Saccharomyces cerevisiae S288C: one gene and its partners. Changing the gene in region 1 together with any one later gene gives a genetic interaction. Each region holds a gene or a part of one and is shown on either strand. Other genes may lie near its edges.

What was found.
Region 2: mutations in IMP21 (region 1) and LCB4 together harm fitness more than expected from each alone (negative genetic interaction), as found in Saccharomyces cerevisiae (2 studies listed by BioGRID).
Region 3: of IMP21 (region 1) and NRG1, a mutation in one rescues a mutant of the other (synthetic rescue), as found in Saccharomyces cerevisiae (one study listed by BioGRID).

Annotation. Positions count from the first base shown.
Region 1 is NC_001141.2:53,481-61,898, reverse strand, and holds IMP21 (Imp21p), read left to right. Parts: upstream 1-6,877; coding exon 6,878-7,918; downstream 7,919-8,418. Other genes in the region: MCM10 (Mcm10p), read left to right, coding at 1-886; ESL1 (Esl1p), read left to right, coding at 1,205-4,561; VPR1 (Vpr1p), read right to left, coding at 4,647-5,354; peptidylprolyl isomerase RRD1, read right to left, coding at 5,520-6,701; GUT2 (glycerol-3-phosphate dehydrogenase), read left to right, coding at 8,191-8,418. UniProt on the Saccharomyces cerevisiae protein: Controls the nucleo-mitochondrial dependence of galactose, maltose and raffinose utilization. Becomes essential in the absence of functioning mitochondria.
Region 2 is NC_001147.6:651,510-658,178, reverse strand, and holds LCB4 (sphinganine kinase LCB4), read left to right. Parts: upstream 1-4,294; coding exon 4,295-6,169; downstream 6,170-6,669. Other genes in the region: DCS2 (5'-(N(7)-methyl 5'-triphosphoguanosine)-(mRNA) diphosphatase), read right to left, coding at 1-915; YRM1 (Yrm1p), read right to left, coding at 1,609-3,969; GLN4 (glutamine--tRNA ligase), read right to left, coding at 6,447-6,669.
Region 3 is NC_001136.10:542,174-547,766, reverse strand, and holds NRG1 (transcriptional regulator NRG1), read left to right. Parts: upstream 1-4,397; coding exon 4,398-5,093; downstream 5,094-5,593. Other genes in the region: HEM13 (coproporphyrinogen oxidase), read right to left, coding at 139-1,125. UniProt on the Saccharomyces cerevisiae protein: Transcriptional repressor involved in regulation of glucose repression. Binds to UAS-1 in the STA1 promoter.

The DNA.
Region 1 (8,418 bases):
AGGGCGAGGAAATTTTATCAAATCCTTCAACCTTCGAATTAGTCATGACTTCAAATGTATCCTGGAGATAGGTTCAAGTAGAGATTTAGGTTGGTGTCCCATAGTGAATAAAAAGACTCACAAAAAATGTGGCTCTCCCATTAACATATCTCTTCATAAGTGTTGCGATTACCATAGAGAAGTGCAATTTCGTGGAACAAGTGCTAAAAGAATTGAATTAAATGGTGGGTACGCCTTGGGCGCGCCTACGAAAGTGGACTCTCAACCAAGCCTATATAAGGCCAAAGGGGAAAACGGGTTTAATATAATCAAAGGTACTCGTAAGCGCCTGTCAGAAGAGGAGGAAAGACTTAAAAAGAGCTCTCACAATTTTACGAATAGTAATTCTGCCAAAGCATTTTTCGACGAGAAATTTCAGAATCCAGATATGCTGGCAAACTTAGACAATAAAAGAAGGAAAATAATAGAAACTAAGAAATCGACAGCACTGAGCCGCGAACTAGGCAAAATTATGAGAAGGAGGGAATCCAGCGGATTAGAAGATAAGAGCGTCGGAGAGCGACAGAAAATGAAACGAACCACAGAAAGTGCCCTCCAGACAGGGCTTATCCAACGCCTAGGATTCGATCCCACTCATGGAAAAATTTCCCAAGTACTCAAGTCTTCTGTATCAGGGAGCGAACCTAAGAACAACTTACTCGGTAAAAAAAAAACTGTTATAAACGATCTCTTGCATTACAAGAAGGAAAAAGTCATTCTCGCACCTTCAAAGAACGAATGGTTCAAGAAAAGAAGCCATCGCGAAGAAGTTTGGCAAAAACATTTCGGATCCAAGGAAACTAAAGAAACTTCTGACGGTAGTGCCAGCGATCTTGAGATAATATAAATAAGTATTGGTGTGCTTTTCAGGGCCCCAAAATGGTATTACTTTTGATGGACAATGGCGCGGGTAATGATTGAAAAATTATGATGAAAAATTGAGTGATTTTGGTTGCAATATAGGGAATCAATCCTTAAAGTGAGAAAGAACAGAAGAGAACATCTTGTGAGACACAAAACGCTCCGAAAACATCTCCCTCTTGGGCGCATCCTTCATTCTGTACTCTTTACTTCACTTTACAGTCGTTTTTGGCCGATCTTTGGCAGCATCTAACGTTATTTTTAGGTTCAATACATAACAACAAGACCACGGATATCGCATAATATGGTTGACCTAATGGTGCCGGCGAATGATGACCCTAGTAATGAAACTGATTATTCTAGATCCAACAACAACCACACTCATATTGTGAGCGATATGCGCCCGACCTCCGCCGCATTTCTTCATCAAAAGCGACATAGTTCTTCGTCGCACAATGATACACCAGAGTCGTCGTTCGCTAAAAGAAGGGTGCCTGGAATTGTAGATCCCGTAGGGAAAGGATTTATAGATGGAATAACTAATAGCCAGATCTCTGCACAAAACACACCCTCCAAAACTGATGATGCATCTAGAAGACCGAGCATCTCTCGCAAAGTTATGGAATCGACACCACAAGTTAAGACCAGTTCTATTCCAACAATGGATGTTCCTAAATCTCCATATTATGTGAATAGAACTATGCTTGCTCGAAATATGAAGGTTGTTTCTAGAGACACTTATGAAGATAACGCAAATCCACAAATGAGAGCTGACGAGCCATTAGTCGCTTCAAATGGTATTTATAGCAATTCGCAACCCCAAAGCCAAGTAACTTTATCCGATATTAGAAGAGCTCCTGTAGTTGCTGCTTCACCCCCGCCGATGATAAGGCAACTTCCTTCGGCGCAGCCAAATCAGACGTTTATTAAAAAACTGCAGGAAATTTATAAAATCATAGTGGTGCAGGAAACCGAGTTACAACAAAGATGCCTTTATTTAACCACCTCTCAAACCACAGAACTAAAAAGTTTGTGGGCAATATACAGACTGAACACAGAACTGATCAAAAATTACATCAATTTCATCATCACTGCATTATTAACTACACAACCTATAAACGACTTGATTATGGGCCAAGAAATTTTGGATATTTACAGAATAGAAAAAAGATTGTGGGTTTATGGTATAATAACCTTCTTGGATGTACTAAAGAACTTTTCGAACTTTATGGACCCAGAGGTATGTTGTCAGTTTATTATATACGCTTTCATCTCTGTCTCAAATATGCTTGAGGATATACCGTTGAAATATTCTATTTTGTGGAGACAAAGATTGGGTGATTTGTCTAGAATGGCAATATCGCTGTACCCATCAGGATTCATAGATTGGAGGCTAAGCGCCGAATATTGGTATACCGAATCAATGAAATACATATATGGGTGCGGAAAACTATATTATCATATTGCCACAGTTCAACAGAACAGTTTAGAAGCGTTCGTAAACTTGGGAAAAAGTGTTTTTTGTCAGGATCCCTTCACTCCGTCTCAGCAAACGTTACAGTTATTGATTGAAAATATCTATCAATCTGCATTCATAGATAGAAGTTCTGGTAGTGCGAACAATAATGAAATTGCCCATAGAAATTCTCAATTAATTGATTATTTAAAGCATACTGAAGTAATGCTATTACCTAGTTTCCTGGAGAATATGGATTTACAGCATGTTGTGCTTATGTACTTCAAAGACAAGTTTGGTAAAGATTTTAACGGAAATGACGTTTTCGATACAAAAGACATGTTTTGCCAAAATCCAGAATCATTGCGTTATTATTTTAGGCATGCCCCTGCATTTGCTGAATCTCAGCTTTTACAGCTAATCGGATTTGGCAATCCTAAAAACCCATTTGCATTATTGTTTCAGTTGCCTAAGTATTTGAAATTAAAGAAGGATAAAAGAGAAAAAAAGAGATCCGAAGCAACAGAAACATCTTCCTATACAGATCCATTCGATGTTCAAATAAGTTCAGAAAGCTACTTCCAGAATATCGATGCTTTAAATTCAAGTTTCAATGATATCCCAACCAATCTCAATATTTGGCTGGATTCTTTGAATCATATCAACATGACGTCAATACAATGCAGTATACATGTATTAACAAAATTTCTTCATGCACCATTAGTGGTTGCCTTACCGCACTTTTTGACGTGGTTACATTTTATAGTTGCTATTTTGAAAAAATTAGAAATGGTAAATTCAAAGCAAGTAGTAGCATTCTGGATACATTTTTTAAGAAGGACAATGCCTTGGAATTCAATAGTGACCTTAGGTAATGTATTAGTTTGTTACATGCTGGATAATTTACACCCTTTTTTGAAAAAAGAATTGGAAAAGTTTTATTCATTGGAACTGGATGATTTGATCGAATATTATAACGAAAATGAAAATCTTCCGGAGATTTGGAAATGTTGGGGAACATTGTGGTTTGACGCTATCAAGAAGTGCGATGTAATGGAAATTCCTGGCGTTCAAGACCATCTTTTTTTCGATTCTCCCCTTGATGGTATAGTCTTTGATGAAAAAGATGAAGTTGGTGAAAAATTCTGGATGCGCAGTGTGAGAGCAGTTTTACTTTTGAAAGGTATTGCCAAGAAATTTCCCGATTTGGGGTTGAAAGTAAGCTTTCAAGCTTCTGTGTTTTGTCGTCGAAATGACATACCTCCAGATTATTTCCTAAAGAATTTGACCTTTAAGCTAGATGCATATGACGAAGATAATTATAACGACAACAACGAATTAGATGATCTATATGACACAATTGAAATAAATGAAGAAATCGAGGCTGTTAACATGGACCCACAAGCCACACCGAATTTGAGCGTCGTTTCTGGTGAAAGTATTTTCGAATATACTGGTTATACGAGATTGGCACCAGATTATCATTGTTTTGATAAAAACGGCGGGTTCAACAGTGCATTTATCTACAGCCAATGGTCCAATGTTGGTAATGGTGTAACACTGGATGTAAGCGGCGAATCTATATACGATGTTGCCAACAACAACTTGAGCCTGCATTGGGAGAAAATATTCTTCGATAAAATTGCCGCCGCATCTAAAGGCAGTGACGAAAACTACAATTGTACGCTTTATTTTGTCATCGATGCTACCTCATGGTTAAGACACTTTGCACATATTTTCAAACTAGCCAAAAACAATACTCTTAAATTTGCGATTTGTCTGACCACATTTCAAGAACTACGTTATCTAAGAGGATCGAAAGACGATACTGTCGTCGAAGCAGCAACAAGGTCGGTAATTACTATTCGCCAGTTGTACGATGAAAAGAAAATTATTCCTATGAGATTCACGGGGAATATTGCAACACATGTTGAAGAAAATCTGGAGTTCGAAGAGCAAATTACTTGGAAGACGCACGTCGATGAATTTGTTATTGATGCTATCGCCAAACTGAACCAAAGGTTTCAAGCTGAAAGATTGACTGATGAAAACAAGAACAAAGGCAAGGAGTTTGCAGTGCTGGTAACGGATGATGATAATATGAACCAAAAAGCGAAGGACAGAATGATAAAAACGTGCAATACAAAGTATTTATTTTCGTTAGGTAGCAAGCTTGGTATTAATAGTGGATTATGTACCAACTAATATGTATATATACATATATATGATCACATATATATTTCTGTGCATTTTTTTTTTTTTTTTGAACACTCCATTCTACAATTACTTTTCATATAAATTTCCAATGCAGGTACCATTTTATATTGTTACACAAGGTTAGAAAAGATCTTGAATCGATCACTAACGAGGCACTAGGGTCATTAACCTTGTTCTGTAGCCATTCTGCGTTAATTTTTGGCGCTCTGCTATGCAATATTATTGTTTGGTCCTTCGGAAGTTTGATGAGTAACTCGTTTGAGGACAGTATGGTTGCTTGAGAGAAATCGCGAATAATTGTGTCAAACTTTGGTTTATGCGTCTGGATTATGGCATCCAGGTCCTTCACGGAGCTATGCAGTTGAGAAACAAGTTTAGAGTCAGTGTTGTAGAATGTTTGCGGCTGCTTTTCCTGTTTCTTTAGAGAACTATTACTTGCGGAGCTCGTCCACTGCGACTCCTGAACCAACTGTCGCAGGGGAGGCGTAGAGTTTTGTGATCGGATATTCTGGCGCTGCTGCTGCTGCTGCTGCTGCTTATGATGTTCTTGTTTCAGAACTAGCAATGAAATGGGCATATGATTACCGTCATGTTGCACGTTCGGTTGCACACTTGATTTCGATAGTATTTCTGAGAAACTGTTGGTGCTTTGTTGTTTTAAAGGGTGATGAGGTCGCCTGGTTGGAGACCAGGATATAGAGCTTAGGGACTGCCCCGGGGGGTGTTGTTGTTGCTGCTTCTGATCCTGATATATTACCAGGCCCCTTCTCTTGTGACTCATTTGCTTACACTGTGGCGACTTTTTCCACTTCTTTGTTTATTTGTATTACCGCTTCCTTTTCCTTTTTTCATCTGATTATATGCTTATATATTGTAGACGCAAGTAAAAAAGAACGAAAATAGAAGTCATAATGCTTGTCATACACATTTATATGTTTAATTAATATTATCTACGTAGTCTATCTCTTGAAAAAGAAGTCTGGTTCCGGTGCGACTGGTTTTGATGGCTTAGTAAATAGTTGATATTGTTACCTGACGGCGGAACGCCTGGGGGAGGCATTGACGTGGACGTTGGGAATCGTGTTGAAGTCTGTTCTCGACCGGGCGATCCTGCGTTAGCCTGTTCTATACTCTCTTCCTCCTTTTCTTCAAAGACTGGAAGATCAGTGCCGTTTTGAATGTTGACCCAGGGAAAGAAGCCTGTGCCGAACCAGAAATGTTGCACCACGGGGAACTTCTTCAGAACCTCTACAGAATACATTTTTAGAAGCCCCTTACACACTTTGGACCAGCGTGGAACGGTGACGGCAATATCGTATAGGATGGGGGAATGCTCTTCAAAGGGCCCCATTTTCACCTCATTAATAAAGTTTATGCCTTGGCAGTAGAAGTTGGTGTCCTTATACTCGCGCACCAGAGACTTATCCAGTATTTCTCTTGGTTGCAAGGGTGCTTGCGCATCAAGCAGCTGCCATTGAGACGAGCCCAAGATGTACACCAAGTGGAAATGGTCATCAAGCCCCCACACGCCATGTGACCCAGCGGGCTCCAGCGTATACGTCAGGATCAGCCTCCTCATGATCGTGTAGTACTTGTTGAACAGCAGAAAAACGTCTGCCCCCCTCATGTGCGGAAACATCCCCAGCATGTCCAGTGCTGCGACCGTGGCCATGAACGAAAGTTCGTGGCCCGTGCCGTAGTCCAATCTTGTCGACGAACCAAAGCTGTTGCCCAGGTAATACTGCAATTCAGGCACCACCTCATGGTATTCCGAGGGAAGCATTTCCTGCAGCCACTGAGGCAAACGTTCATCCAGCTTGTGATGCCACTCGCGGCATGCTAGGTTACCATACCTTCTAGGACCTGGAAGAGGCGGTGTCTCGTCGATCAGGTGTGCCAGCTTGTCCAACACTCCCATCAGCCCGTTAACCATGGCGATCGACGACGCAGTAGCGTGCGGGTCGGGGTCAGAACAGTGCGATATCAACGTAGTGTACTTGTGAAGATGATACTTGATTCTGTGAATGGCTAGTGACGATTGGAAGTCCAGCGTTGTCTGCGTATCGAAGATACGCTTCACCGGCGTAGAGAAGGTGGCGTGCGGCCAATCTACACGATCCAGAGACATTTCTTTGCTCGTTTAATGCTTGTTCATATGTGCGTTCTTTTGCACTTTGCACTTTCTTCCTATTTTATCTTTTTAAGAAAGCTTTAAAGGTCCGGAAAAAAGGCTTGATCAAACACAAGAGACTATGGAAAGGGTGAGTACCAAAAGAACCAACAAGAGAAACAACCAAGTACGCAATGCAGAAGAGCATATTGCTGACTAAACCTGACGGAACACAATCGAATCTACACAGCATCAAAACGGAAACGCCCACCACGGTGGAGTTCGACTCGGAGCAGATGGAAAGGGGCCACAGGGAAAGAGGTCGTAGCAAGAAGAAAAGAGGCGAACGAGACTCAAACGTGAGCAGTCTGTCGCGGTCGAGAAGCAGGGCCAGTAGCCGCAGCAGAGTAAGGGAGGAAGAGTTCCTCAAGTGGACCGTGTTGAGGCAGGACCCCTCGATGCGGTTGAGGGTCGTGGATGTGGATTCTGAAGAGGAAGGTGAGGGCAACGACGAAGATGACGACGACGGCGACGGCGACGATATGGACGAGGAAGAGTCCGATGAAGAGCAAGTGAGCGATATAGAGAACGATTTAGAGATTGACGAGGAGTTCCACTACGATCTGGGCATGAAAGTGTTACCCAACTTTTGTACCAGCATAAACGAAGTGCTAGACTCCAGCAAGCCCTGGATAGCCAAGTACGAGATCAGCATCCGTGGCCACGAAAACGAAGACGTGTCTCTGGAGCAACTCGACGGAGGCTACGTCAGAGCCATGCAACTACTCACCAAGGGTGCCGGCGCAGAGGCCGGGAACCAAAGGTCCTTCATCCTCTACACGGACCTGAGCAGCGAGTCCACCTACGCCCTGACCTATCTCATGGGCGCAGCTGTCAACCAGGGAGACACCGTCTACATTGTCCACTGGGAGCCCTCGAAGCCCACGGACGACTCCCAGATGTTCGCCAACGTTGCCAGAATCAGAAAGCACGTCATGCACCTGTTTGACTGCGTCGCGGGCGTGCTCGACGACCTCGACGTCGTCGTCCTCTCCTTGACCCATCCGTACCCAAAACACCTCCTCAACGAGATGATCCACGGCCTCAAGCCAGTCGCCCTGTGCTGCTCCCTCTCGGTCATCCTGTCCACTCTGCAGAACTTCGTCTGCTCTGTGCCCATCCTCGCGGTTAGAAAGAAGCTGAAACGTGCCAAGCGCAAGGGCATCAGCGAGTGACCAATAATCACTGCACTAATTCCTTTTTAGCAACACATACTTATATACAGCAACAGACCTTATGTCTTTTCTCTGCTCCGATACGTTATCCACCCAACTTTATTTCAGTTTTGGCAGGGGAAATTTCACAACCCCGCACGCTAAAAATCGTATTTAAACTTAAAAGAGAACAGCCACAAATAGGGAACTTTGGTCTAAAGCAAGGACTCTCCCTCCCTTATCTTGACCGTGCTATTGCCATCACTGCTACAAGACTAAATACGTACTAATATATGTTTTCGGTAACGAGAAGAAGAGCTGCCGGTGCAGCTGCTGCCATGGCCACAGCCACGGGGACGCTGTACTGGATGACTAGCCAAGGTGATAGGCCGTTAGTGCACAATGACCCGAGCTACATGGTGCAATTCCCCACCGCCGCTCCACCGCAGGTCTCTAGACGAGACCTGCTGGACCGTCTGGCCAAGACGCATCAATTCGACGTGTTGATCATCGGTGGCGGG
Region 2 (6,669 bases), on another chromosome or scaffold:
ATAACCTTCAGGACCTAAGAAACCCAACGCTTCTATAACATCTTCCAACAGTATTGTCATTCCGGAGCCTCTCTCCTCGCCTACTCCTGGATGCCTTATATTCACTATATGGACATGAAAATGGTAATATGAAGGTTGATAATGAATGAAAACTCTTAGCTCGTCCGGGTTTACATTATAGTCATAGTGCTGGGGGATGATGGTCTTAATCTTCTTATTGAGTCTAATTAACCAATCTCTATGGTTTGGGTTCAAATCTCTCAAAGATTTGATGTCGTCCCTGTACACGATCGCGACCAGGTATAACGAATCAATGTTGATTCCGTCCCACTTCATATCGGGCAAGATGACGAATCCATCCTCTTTATTCCTGCTACTGTATTCCTTATAAACAACTCTATCATCCTCGGCGCCCTCGTAAAGAATGTTGTTTACCCATTTCATTCTTTCGCTGGTACACATCTCTTGGATAAAGGGCACAACTATGTTTCTATACATATCAGGAGTTTCTCTGACGACATGTAAATCCTGCTGGTCGTATCCCTTGATGTGGAACTGCGAGGCGGGCCAAATTAAGTTAACCTTCGCAGTTGGGTTATGCAAAATATGCTGCTTCAAAACAGACAACCCCCAGTAGTAGATGTCATTCGAAGTTAATTCCTTCAGATCAGTAATACCGTTTAAAAAGGAGTACTCGTCTATTTCACGATGAAAGAAAATCGGAGTGCTACGGCCACTTTGAGAGGGTCTACGTACCGTTTCATCAAATATGAAATGCGTCTTTTCAGCAGTTAACACGGCATCCTTCCCATCTATGCTGCCTAGTAGTGAGATTACCTTTGTATGAGGGTTCGAATCTAACACCCTGACGTATTTAAACCTCCCAATTAAACTAGCTAAATCTTGGGAACCCATCATGTATTTTTTTACTTTTACACGCTCAAATCTTTTCAATTTTGCAATGAAAAGGTACCGACCTAACATATATTTGAAGACCAAACGAAACCCCCGTGCTTCTGTTTCTCTTCTTTCTGCCTTTATACTCATTGGTATTGTCACCCCTTATTTCCCCCCTAGGCGTCTGCGCGGCCGCTGTCATGGGGCTGTCCTTTCGGACTAGCATATAATCACTGACGCTAGCTCTAATCGATCAATAATTAAGTGGAAGTATTTTGTTGAGGTGGGTGATTATTATGGGGAAGATTTTTGACAATCGAATGAACACTTTAACAGCTTTTGGAGGCTAGAGTGCCAGTAAGCTCCATACTTCTTTGGAGTTGATTTCTTTTTCTTGCAGAATAGGTTGGACAAAGTACATCCATCAGAACAATTGCAGGTGCCTTTTGTTCACGCAATTACTGGCTTTTCCTTGTTTGTTTGGTCAAGAAGTTAGTGTTTAGCTTTTTCCCTTCATTTTTTTATTTTTCTTATTTTATAGATGCTTAAATGTCATTTTTGTCTTACTAATCATTAAATAGTTGGTCCGAAAGATAGGTCCAAGCGCAAGTCCAAGCCAATGGCTTGCTCTCGACTGTCTTCCATTACAATATGCAAGTTTTCTATCTAGCTGCTGTCGCAAGCATGTTTTTTTGTAAAAGAACTTCTCCTCTACTGCGTATCAAATAAATATTTATAATCTGGCTGACTCATTAGTTCCTCCCAGCCAAGGTTGTACGCCGTCCAAAATTCGTTGGATATTGTCTGTGCCAGTTCAGTCTCAATTGGCCCAGTTTCATTGTTATGCGAAGCGTTTTCGCTGTTATTTCGCACTTCCTCCGGGGGTAATCCTGGAGAATTTCCCGCCAATGGACTGGCGCTTGTGACGCCCAGGTCACTTAAACTGGGATCGATTGGAGTATTTACATTGTCAGTGAGCGAATAGGACCCATTCAATTCGTCTTGGAGTTGTTGTAACCATGTGTTTTCGACCTCGGTTCTATATTTGATTACTTTTTCCAAAACAGCTCTATATATGCTTTCCAGGGCGATGTTGATAACAAATGTATAAGAGCGAGCCATAATAATTCTTAACTGCTTGTTGTTATCATTAGACCATTTAGCAAATATATCTGAATGTATTTTGAAAGCAGTAAGTAAGTTCATAGCTTTATCCAACGGGATATTCAAGGTTGACAAATCCCAATCTGTGACTTCTTGATCTTTGATGTTGGATGATAGATAATAGCCCTTCTCAAAAAGAGTTAACTTATGATACAAAAACGCACAAAAGCCAGTAGAGGCCCTAGGAAAAAGGAAATTTGTGTATACTAAAGACAAGGCCATAAATGGCGGTAAATGAACGCAATTATGATCAAAAAACTCAGGAAAATGCTTCTCATCTAGGTTAAAACACAGTATGGTCGTATTGATGACAAGGGAAAAAGAGACCAAAATGGTTTGCAGGATGTTGTTCTCTAAAACAACGCTTTTTTCCTTGTAAATCAAATACCTCAAGGAATAAAACGTCAACAACAAATTCAAAACCTGCGCAAGCACTTTAATCTCGCACAAAGGAACTTTAGATATTAACTCACTGTCAGTGTAATATGATATTGGGTGGAATTCAGTCTCTACAAAGTTTCTTAGTTTTTTACAATTTTCGGCTAAGTCTGGAAATGCGCTTCTATCATAAATTTGATCTAGCATTGGTCGAGCTAATCTTAAAAACCTTTTAAGCTTGCCCATGCAGGAATTTGACTGATCGAAAAAAACCGTCGATGAATAATTGTTTGTATTTTTAGGCAACCTCTCACCATTCTCGCATTCATCGACTTGAAAATAGGATGAGTTAATCGCCAAACATCTCCCAATATTTAAAGAAACATTGAAATCTGATAATATAATCCAAACCCACAAATTTTCCAAACTTTCCATACTCCCCACAATATTTTCTTGATTTTTGTATATTTCTCTTATATTCAAGTGTAAACCCAGCATAATTGCCGTGCTGCATAATAAGTCAACTAGACTAATCATATGCGAATCGTCTCCACACGCCCAAATTAGTTCTCGATGATAGTATTTCAATAAGAGAAATTGAGCGCGTTCAATGAAATATACTTTAGCTGTTGACAGTCCCGTCAGCATGATGAGAAATTTCTCTATCTCTTCCGGAGTATTTTTGTAGAAATGGCGAATACACAGTATCATCAAAATAACTCCAATCTTATAATAGTTTTTCTTTGTCGATGGTAATAACTTTTCAATCCGCCTTTCACCGTTGGGTAACAGTTCGTCACTTGGAAGAAACGAGGAAGTGAAATCGTTTATTATTTTGGTTTTATCTAATACTTCACTAACTTCATTAGTTTCCAGTTCAGTATTGAAAAAGTCTGTTATAATCTTTGACGATTGTTCAAAAGATGGCAAAACGTTACAAACCTGTTGCAAGATGTCAGAGCCTGTCTTTTCTAACGGCGGTCCCTCTAGGAGTTGAGTTTCTGGCTTCATTGTCCATTTATGCCTAGCCTTCCATCTGTTTCTCTCGATTTTCACTTTGGACCAGAGCTGATTATACGTGTTTACAAACCGATTATCATCGTTTGAGAGATGCGTTCTCAAAGATGTAGGACCATATACTATTCTTCTTCCCGAGCCTTTACATTGTAAATAGTAAAAATTAGCGTAAGGGTTCCTAAATGGGCTCGTACTAAGCGCTACATCCTTCTCCGTCAACTCTTTGTCATCTAGTCTTTTCTCTAAATCCTCAATCCTTTTCAACAGTTCAATGTTCGGAGTACTGCCAAATAACTCTTTTGTTTCTATTTTGTGGGTGAATTTCTCTGTATACAGGCAACCAGAACGACCCCTCGTCTTACAAGTTGAGCACATTGGCTTCTGCTGGTCGCAACGTAATTTCCTTTTCCTACAAAAAGCGCATGACTTTATTGGTTTCCGTCTCTTCTGCGCCTTCTTTACAGTTTCCTCCGATGGGGAAGCTCTATCCTGTAAACTACCCCGCTTACTCATTAACAACTCCCTTTACCAGGACCATTCAATGTGCTTTCCCCTCTGACTTTCTATACTCTTGCCGTTATTATTACAATACCACCTGGCATTTGTCATTTTATCGCCTTGTAAACCATGGGTGTCACCCTACTGCCGAGCCTGAAAAAAACGTGCTGCAAGGGTCTTGAAGCAAAAAGATGATTTAACGGAAGAAAGGCATACAAGAAGGTGAAAATTCGTGTTTAACCCATCTGATACTTTCCCTTGTCTAACGTACTGATCCTGGAGGTTATCAAGAACACAAAAGTCTAGCAGCGAAAAGTACGCGAAGAATCTACTATAGATAATGGTGGTGCAGAAAAAACTTAGGGCTATCTTGACCGATGAAGGTGTATTGATCAAATCGCAATCACACCATATGTTCAATAAGCATGGTCAACTCAGAAGCGGAGATTCTTTATCCTTGTTGAGCTGCTTGTCCTGTCTGGATGATGGAACTTTGAGCTCTGATGGAGGTTCTTTTGATGAGGATGATTCCCTGGAACTGTTGCCTCTTAATACTACCATTCCGTTCAACAGAATTTTGAACGCAAAATATGTGAATGTCGGTCAGAAAGGCTTCAATAATGGCAAAATTTCTTCGAATCCTTTTCAAACGGAAAATCTGAGTTCTTCGTCTGAAAATGACGACGTTGAGAATCATAGTTTGAGCAATGATAAGGCTCCTGTAAGCGAATCACAGTCATTTCCCAAAAAAGACAAGTGGGATACAAAAACGAACACTGTGAAGGTGTCTCCCGATGATTCACAGGATAACTCACCATCTTTAGGGATAAAAGATAATCAACAGTTAATTGAGTTAACTTTTGCTGTACCCAAGGGCCATGATGTTATACCACAAAAATTAACCTTGTTAATAGATCACGTTTCTAGGAAATCGAGAGCAAATACCGGAGAGGAGAACATTTCTTCTGGTACTGTGGAAGAAATCCTGGAAAAAAGTTATGAAAATTCCAAGAGAAACAGATCGATATTAGTCATTATTAATCCCCACGGTGGTAAAGGTACTGCTAAAAATTTATTCCTGACAAAAGCAAGGCCAATACTAGTGGAAAGTGGCTGCAAAATAGAAATTGCATACACAAAATATGCCCGTCACGCCATCGATATTGCCAAAGATTTAGATATCAGCAAATACGATACCATTGCATGTGCCTCGGGTGATGGTATTCCATACGAAGTAATTAATGGGCTTTATAGAAGACCCGACAGAGTGGATGCGTTCAATAAACTAGCCGTAACTCAGCTACCTTGCGGTTCAGGAAATGCTATGAGCATTTCATGTCATTGGACAAATAACCCATCGTACGCCGCTCTGTGCCTTGTCAAATCCATTGAAACAAGAATAGACTTAATGTGTTGTTCCCAACCTTCTTATATGAACGAATGGCCAAGATTATCCTTTTTGAGTCAGACGTACGGCGTTATTGCAGAATCTGATATTAACACTGAATTCATCAGATGGATGGGTCCCGTTAGGTTTAATTTGGGTGTAGCATTCAACATTATCCAAGGTAAGAAATATCCCTGCGAAGTTTTCGTCAAATATGCTGCCAAATCTAAAAAGGAATTAAAAGTTCATTTCTTAGAAAATAAAGATAAAAACAAAGGATGTTTAACCTTCGAACCAAATCCTAGCCCAAACTCTTCGCCGGATTTACTATCTAAAAACAATATCAACAACAGTACAAAAGATGAACTTTCACCGAATTTTCTCAACGAGGACAACTTTAAATTAAAGTATCCGATGACGGAACCAGTACCTAGAGACTGGGAGAAAATGGATTCAGAGCTAACTGATAACTTAACAATCTTTTACACAGGGAAAATGCCGTATATTGCTAAGGACACCAAATTTTTTCCCGCTGCTTTACCAGCGGATGGTACCATTGATTTAGTCATAACGGATGCAAGAATCCCAGTGACAAGAATGACACCAATTTTATTATCCTTGGATAAAGGTTCTCATGTATTAGAGCCAGAAGTTATTCACTCAAAAATATTGGCTTATAAGATTATACCAAAAGTGGAGTCAGGTTTATTTTCAGTGGATGGTGAAAAGTTTCCTTTGGAACCCTTGCAAGTGGAAATAATGCCCATGTTATGCAAGACGTTGCTAAGGAATGGTAGATATATCGATACAGAGTTTGAATCCATGTAGATTAACGTTATATTTTCCTTCAAAAATGATTTTTTTGTAAAAAGAAATACTACATCGAAAAGAAAAGGCGATATAATGTTTCTATCATCGGAGTATGGTTTATATTCCATTTTTGTTTTCATTATAATTATACATCCCCAGTTATATATCATTAATACGTAACAATATTATGAGTTGGTCTTTATTATCTAATATAATTAAAAAATTTACACTATTACATCATTTTCAACCAATAGGATATATATATAAATATATACATATATGCACATTAAATCATTCACTTGGAAGTTGCGTCCTTCAAGCTAACTATTCTATTCAAAATAACCTTAGAAGTCGTACTCTCTTTATCCAGAGTGAAATAACCTACTCTCATAGCTTGGAATCTACACACTTCTTTGGAATCCTTATCTTCTTCAACATAAAATTCCGAGTTTTTAACAGAATCAACGACCCATGGACTGTTCTTGACAACGTCCCCGAAGTTATGTTCCATGACAGAT
Region 3 (5,593 bases), on another chromosome or scaffold:
TCCTGTATCAATTGAATTTGAAGAATTATGTAAAGGAGGTATAATAAATAGATAAAAAAATGTATAAATAAGTGGTCGAAATAATTAAATCATCATTGTCATTGAGATCATAAAATCGGTCTGCTAAAGAACCTTGAATTATTTAACCCACTCTCTTGGTTTGGTGGTAACTTCTAGTAATTTAGCTTCTCTGGAACCAGGAGCAGGGTGGTGGTTGTATAACCATGAAGCATGTTCAGGCAAACTCATCAAAATTGACTCAACTCTAGAGCCTGGGGTTCTCAAACCGAATTGGGTACCTCTATCGTAGATTAAGTTGAATTCAACGTATCTACCACGTCTAATGGCCTGCCATTGTTGTTCTTCCTTTGTATATGGCATATCTTTTCTTCTCTTGACGATAGTCAAGTAGGATGGCAAGAAAGCATCGAAACAGTCTTCAACCATCTTCAATATTTCTTGTGGGTCACGTTCATCATAATCGTCAAAGAATATACCACCAATACCACGTGTTTCCTTACGGTGGGTAATGTAGAAGTACTCATCACACCATTTCTTGAAACGTGGGTACAAAGCAGTGTCGTGCTTGTCCAAGGCATCCTTGTGCAGTTGGTGGAATAATTGACCGTCTTCTTCGTATAAGTAAGAAGGTGTCAAATCAGCACCACCACCAAACCACCAAGTTTGTGGGGTCCCATCTTGGTTCCAAGTTTCGAAGTAACGGTAGTTTAAGTGCGTGGTTGGAGCGTGTGGGTTAACGGGATGAATGACCATACTTAAACCACAAGCGAAGAACTTGACACCGTCGGTAACTGGCAAACCAGTCTTTGGATCTTCTGGTAGACGCAGATTCTTATGATCAGCTTTCATGGCTGAAACGGCCGCTGGGCTCAATTGACCATAAACAACGGAGACATTAACACCACCTTTTTCGAAAGTTGTACCGTCTTGGATAACCATAGAGGTACCACCACCACCATCGTTACCACGGGTCCAAGTATCAGCGTGGAACTTAACAGTATCGATGGATTCCAAACCTTGCGTGATTTCAGCTTGTTTGCGACGGATAAGAGCTTCCATTTGTTGTCTAATTGGAAGATTCCTTGGATCTTGAGGGGCAGGCATCTTTATGTGTATTTAATTGTGTTCGAAGAGTTCGGTTTGCTATGTTTGATTTGCGAAAAGAAAGCTTTTGATATGCTCAAAAAAAGAAAACCCGGAGAATAAAAGCTTAACAAAGAAAGACAATAGGTGGAAAAAAAAAGGAAAATCCGTGTCCTTATATAGCCTTTCGAAACGAGAACAATGGGCAAAGCAAGCTTTATCTTCGGATCGTCCGTCAGCGCTTTGGTTGCAGTCTTATGCTTTGTTCAAGCTGGAGCGTTATTGGTGGGAGAACCAGAAAAGGCGAAAGCGTAGCGTTCTTTGAAATTTGGCTTCTGTTCCTGCGACTCGTTTAAAAGTAGAAGGGCCCGCGGAGCCGCTGTGAAAGATTTCTTTTACTCTTTCAGCGCAGAAATCTCGCAGGAGCTCAGCAGAAAGTGCCTATGACGGTAATCCCAGGGGCTAATGGTGTGAAGGCACTTTCTAAACAATTGAAATTAAAATACCGTGCCTATAGTAACTTTTTTTTACGCTGTGAACCGTTCAACACACAGTAAAAACTCCGCAGGAAATGGTTTGAAGAATCTTAATCACGAATTAGGCGTATTGTTTTTCCCAACAGTGAACGAGAGGACAAACTCCAGAGGATTTGCGGGCTTGATGATAAAATGTATTGTTGAAAAGATCGCGAATGCAACAATTACGGTGGGGAGAAATATCAACAAAAGGGCAAGGCTATGCCTTCTGGAAAGTGGCAGACTTGCACTTTCCTCGAAAAGAAAAATGACCGCAAGATCCGGTTGTTCTCAACCTTCTACATTAAGACATACTTCTACGATTTTCGAATGCCGAAGCAACTATCGCTGAAATTTGTCATGTCAAAATTGCTACTGGGGGAGAAGAATATATATGGAAGTAATTATTATTTACGTTGCTGAAATGGCAGGTTAGACGCATGTTTTGCAAAATAAGTGGTTTTGAAAAGAATTGATACTAGGAATCGGTGCAATACCTTCTACCTTTCTTAATAGGTATTCTTGAATAATCTACCTCACTTTCTGTCCCAGATACGAGATGTCGAGCGCCTCGAAAATAGATATCGTTTATTACGTTAGATACGGAAAGGTCTACGTGTCATAATAAATTGCATCTGGATTGCGATTTTGGGTCATGCCTAACTGGGAAAATATTTACATCTCCATGTTCTCATTCTGCCTTTGCTTTCCTTCAAAACATGGTTTTCAATTCAACCTAGGGTCTACCGCGGAACCATATGTACGCCGTAAATGCGAGTGTTCTTGAAAGGTAGTAATGTGTTCCCTCTCAATATGTAAGTCCTTCAAGAGTATGCACTTGCAGTTGCACTGTTTCGGGTAATTATCCGTCATTAAGAAAAAGATGCTTCCACTTTCTCGTGTTTTTACGCACAATCGTGCCATTTAACCGGAAATAGACTCCATTGCATTGATTGCTCTCATAAAAATTATAGCCCGCGTTTGATACTTGTTTAAAATAGGTGTCGACAAAGTTAGTTTCTGTCTTCCATTTAGTTTTTACAATATGACACGTCAAATAAATCTTTTCGATTTAGTTAAAAGAGTTACCTGGCGATAGCCTTCTGGTAAAACACCTATTCATAAAACAATCTTAAAAAACCAAAAAATTACCAAACAACTATGTAGGACATATTTTTACAGTTCATAAAAACGCTTCGAGCTGCCGATATCGGTATCAAACACCAAAATATACATAGTGCTGGTTTAAGCCAGAATATCTTGGTGAAGCTGCGCCTATATGCCTTGTATTTAAAACAAGTCACGAAAAGCTATTGCCAAAGGAACATAAAAACTCGTATCTATGTTATATTATAAAAAAGATATAATATTTATATATTATTATTAATATTATTTTTTAGTTCCGAAAGGAGAAACTTATAATTTTTATATCATTATTTATTATTATTTTTAATTTCAACTCCTTTTATACCTATTACTGCATGTGGAGAAAAGATTAAACCAGGCGAGGCAATTTACACTTATTCATTGAGATAAGATGAAAGAGCCACGCCTCGTTACATTTAGGCTACATCATATAACAACTAGTCCCAGCCTCCCCCCTTCCCCACCTTGGAGTACTTTTCTCCAGAAATAGAAAGCTAAGAATCAAAATCGCACCATTACGTATGAGCTCATTTGCCGTCTTTTCCCCGACAATCCGGCACAAAATCTGGCTACCCGTCGTATGTATGGTAGACGATATTATGTACTCTAGTAATGCTATGTACGAATAGTTTCAGACGGGCACAGGGACCTAGAACGCCAAGCGCAAAAAAAAGCTGATAGGAATTCGACGTCACGAACCCTTGGAGTAAAAGAAAACTAAAATATACGAACTTCGCGGAAAATAAAAAACTTTTCCTTCAGTTGTTCCTCGTTCGAAACAGTAATCTACACGGACCGTTGCTTATTTTTAGCCAGATTCTAGTTAAATAAAAAAAAAAGAAATAAAATTAAAAAAAAATTAAACTGTGGCAGATAAGCCTTTCTAATCGAGGCAGTGTGTTTCTTTTGACTTCACCGTTTGTCTTCGCATAGTTCCCCTAAATATTCTAACTAGAAAAATCGCTAGTATTTTTCTACTTATAAGTTGATTTTCCGCATATTTGTCTTTGAAACGTTTGAGACAGGGAAAACTCTGTTTTCTAAAAGAGGAAAAAGCAAAATGAAGTATTGGCTTGGTTGCGGTCAACACCCTCAGGGAAAGCCAAGAAATGCTTTTTACTGTTTAGCAGTGAAAAGGCCGCACCGGAAAAGAAGGGAAAAATTCATTGGGTCTAGATTTTTCTTATCGGTAAAAGACTATGGCCTCTTGAGGACCCTTAAGCGTGAAACGAAACGCGTTGAGCGCGCAGAGGGGCTTCGCCGCCGGTCAGGGTGTTTGGGGTGTTTTTTCTTTTAATTATTCTCTTGGCAGTGTCATCTTTCTACAGTCTGGCTGCAGGCTCCTTTTCCGTTATTCATATATAAGGAAGAGAACTTTCCAAACCCAAATTAAAAAAAATTTGGTTCCCATCTCTTAACTAAAAGAAATTATATTACTCCACCTCGTTTACAGTTTTTTGATGCTATAAGGGAATTCTGCAGCTTTTGAAAGTAAAAATCATATCGTATACGATTCTGCAAAGTATTATTGTACTGTAATTCCTACCATTACGGCGCCTTTTTCTACCATTCACCTTTCTTGGATTGTTCCTCTCGACCAGCATATTACTACCCTTCGCAAACTTTCAGGCAATGTTTTACCCATATAACTATAGTAACCTCAATGTTTCTACTATGCCCGCACTGCCGGGAATCTCCGCATTTGATGGAATGCAAGATGAAGAAAACGTTGAAATAAGCCCGGAAAGAAAATATCAGACGCTACTACCAGTTCTAACTAATTCTCATGTGGTAGAGAATGAACTAAAACACAAATTAAATAAGACTGCTTTTGATTTCCGATACCAAACCAAATCAGAAAATGGCTCTGAAAAGTGGGAGCCAAAATACTTAATAACGCCTAATTTACAAACAAGAAGCGTCTCTTTTGACAATTCATCGGTACAATATAATTCAGATTCATCCGAAAAAAGCTCGCTATCACAACTAACTTGTAATTCATCAATAATACAACAGCCTGAGAACGGAATAGTTTCTAATGATGCATATAATAAGATGGCAAATAGTAGATACTCTCTGAAAACGCGGAAGCAAAGAACAGATCCAAGAAATACGTTATCAGATGAGGAAGACCTTGAACAAAGGCGCAAATACATTTGCAAAATTTGCGCAAGAGGATTCACTACATCGGGTCATTTAGCAAGGCATAATAGAATTCATACGGGCGAAAAAAATCATTGTTGTCCGTATAAGGGATGCACGCAGCGATTCAGTCGACATGATAATTGCTTGCAACACTATAGAACACATTTGAAAAAGGGACAATAATTGACGGTATACCCGTGTTTTTCTCATTAGCAGTACTACTATTCCGCACTTTACATCATTTTTTATAAACTCATGCATACATACATTGTACTTCAAAAGATTTTTTTTTTTTTTTGGCATCATAAATCACTTTCAGATCAGTTTCCTTTCAAACGCGCGGCATTAAGAAAACTTTTAATGTCAAAAAAACGGAAGCAAAAACCCCTCCCTTCCGCTTAAGATCATGTCTGGACATTTTAGTTGTAAGGCTGCGCCTCGGTAGCAAGTAGTGCTGCAACAAGGCTATTATGCCACCTAAACAGACCACTTTTGCTTAATACGAGACTGTGACTACCTCCTGACTTCCTGTCATAACAAAAAAACAGACGTCGCTGCATTAACATTTACAACCCCAAACCTTCTTCATTCATTGCTTTTCTTTTAGAAACTGTGGCTTTTTGACATTTGCAGTTTGCATAGTTACTTTTTGATCACTAACAACGATATATTATCGTTGAACA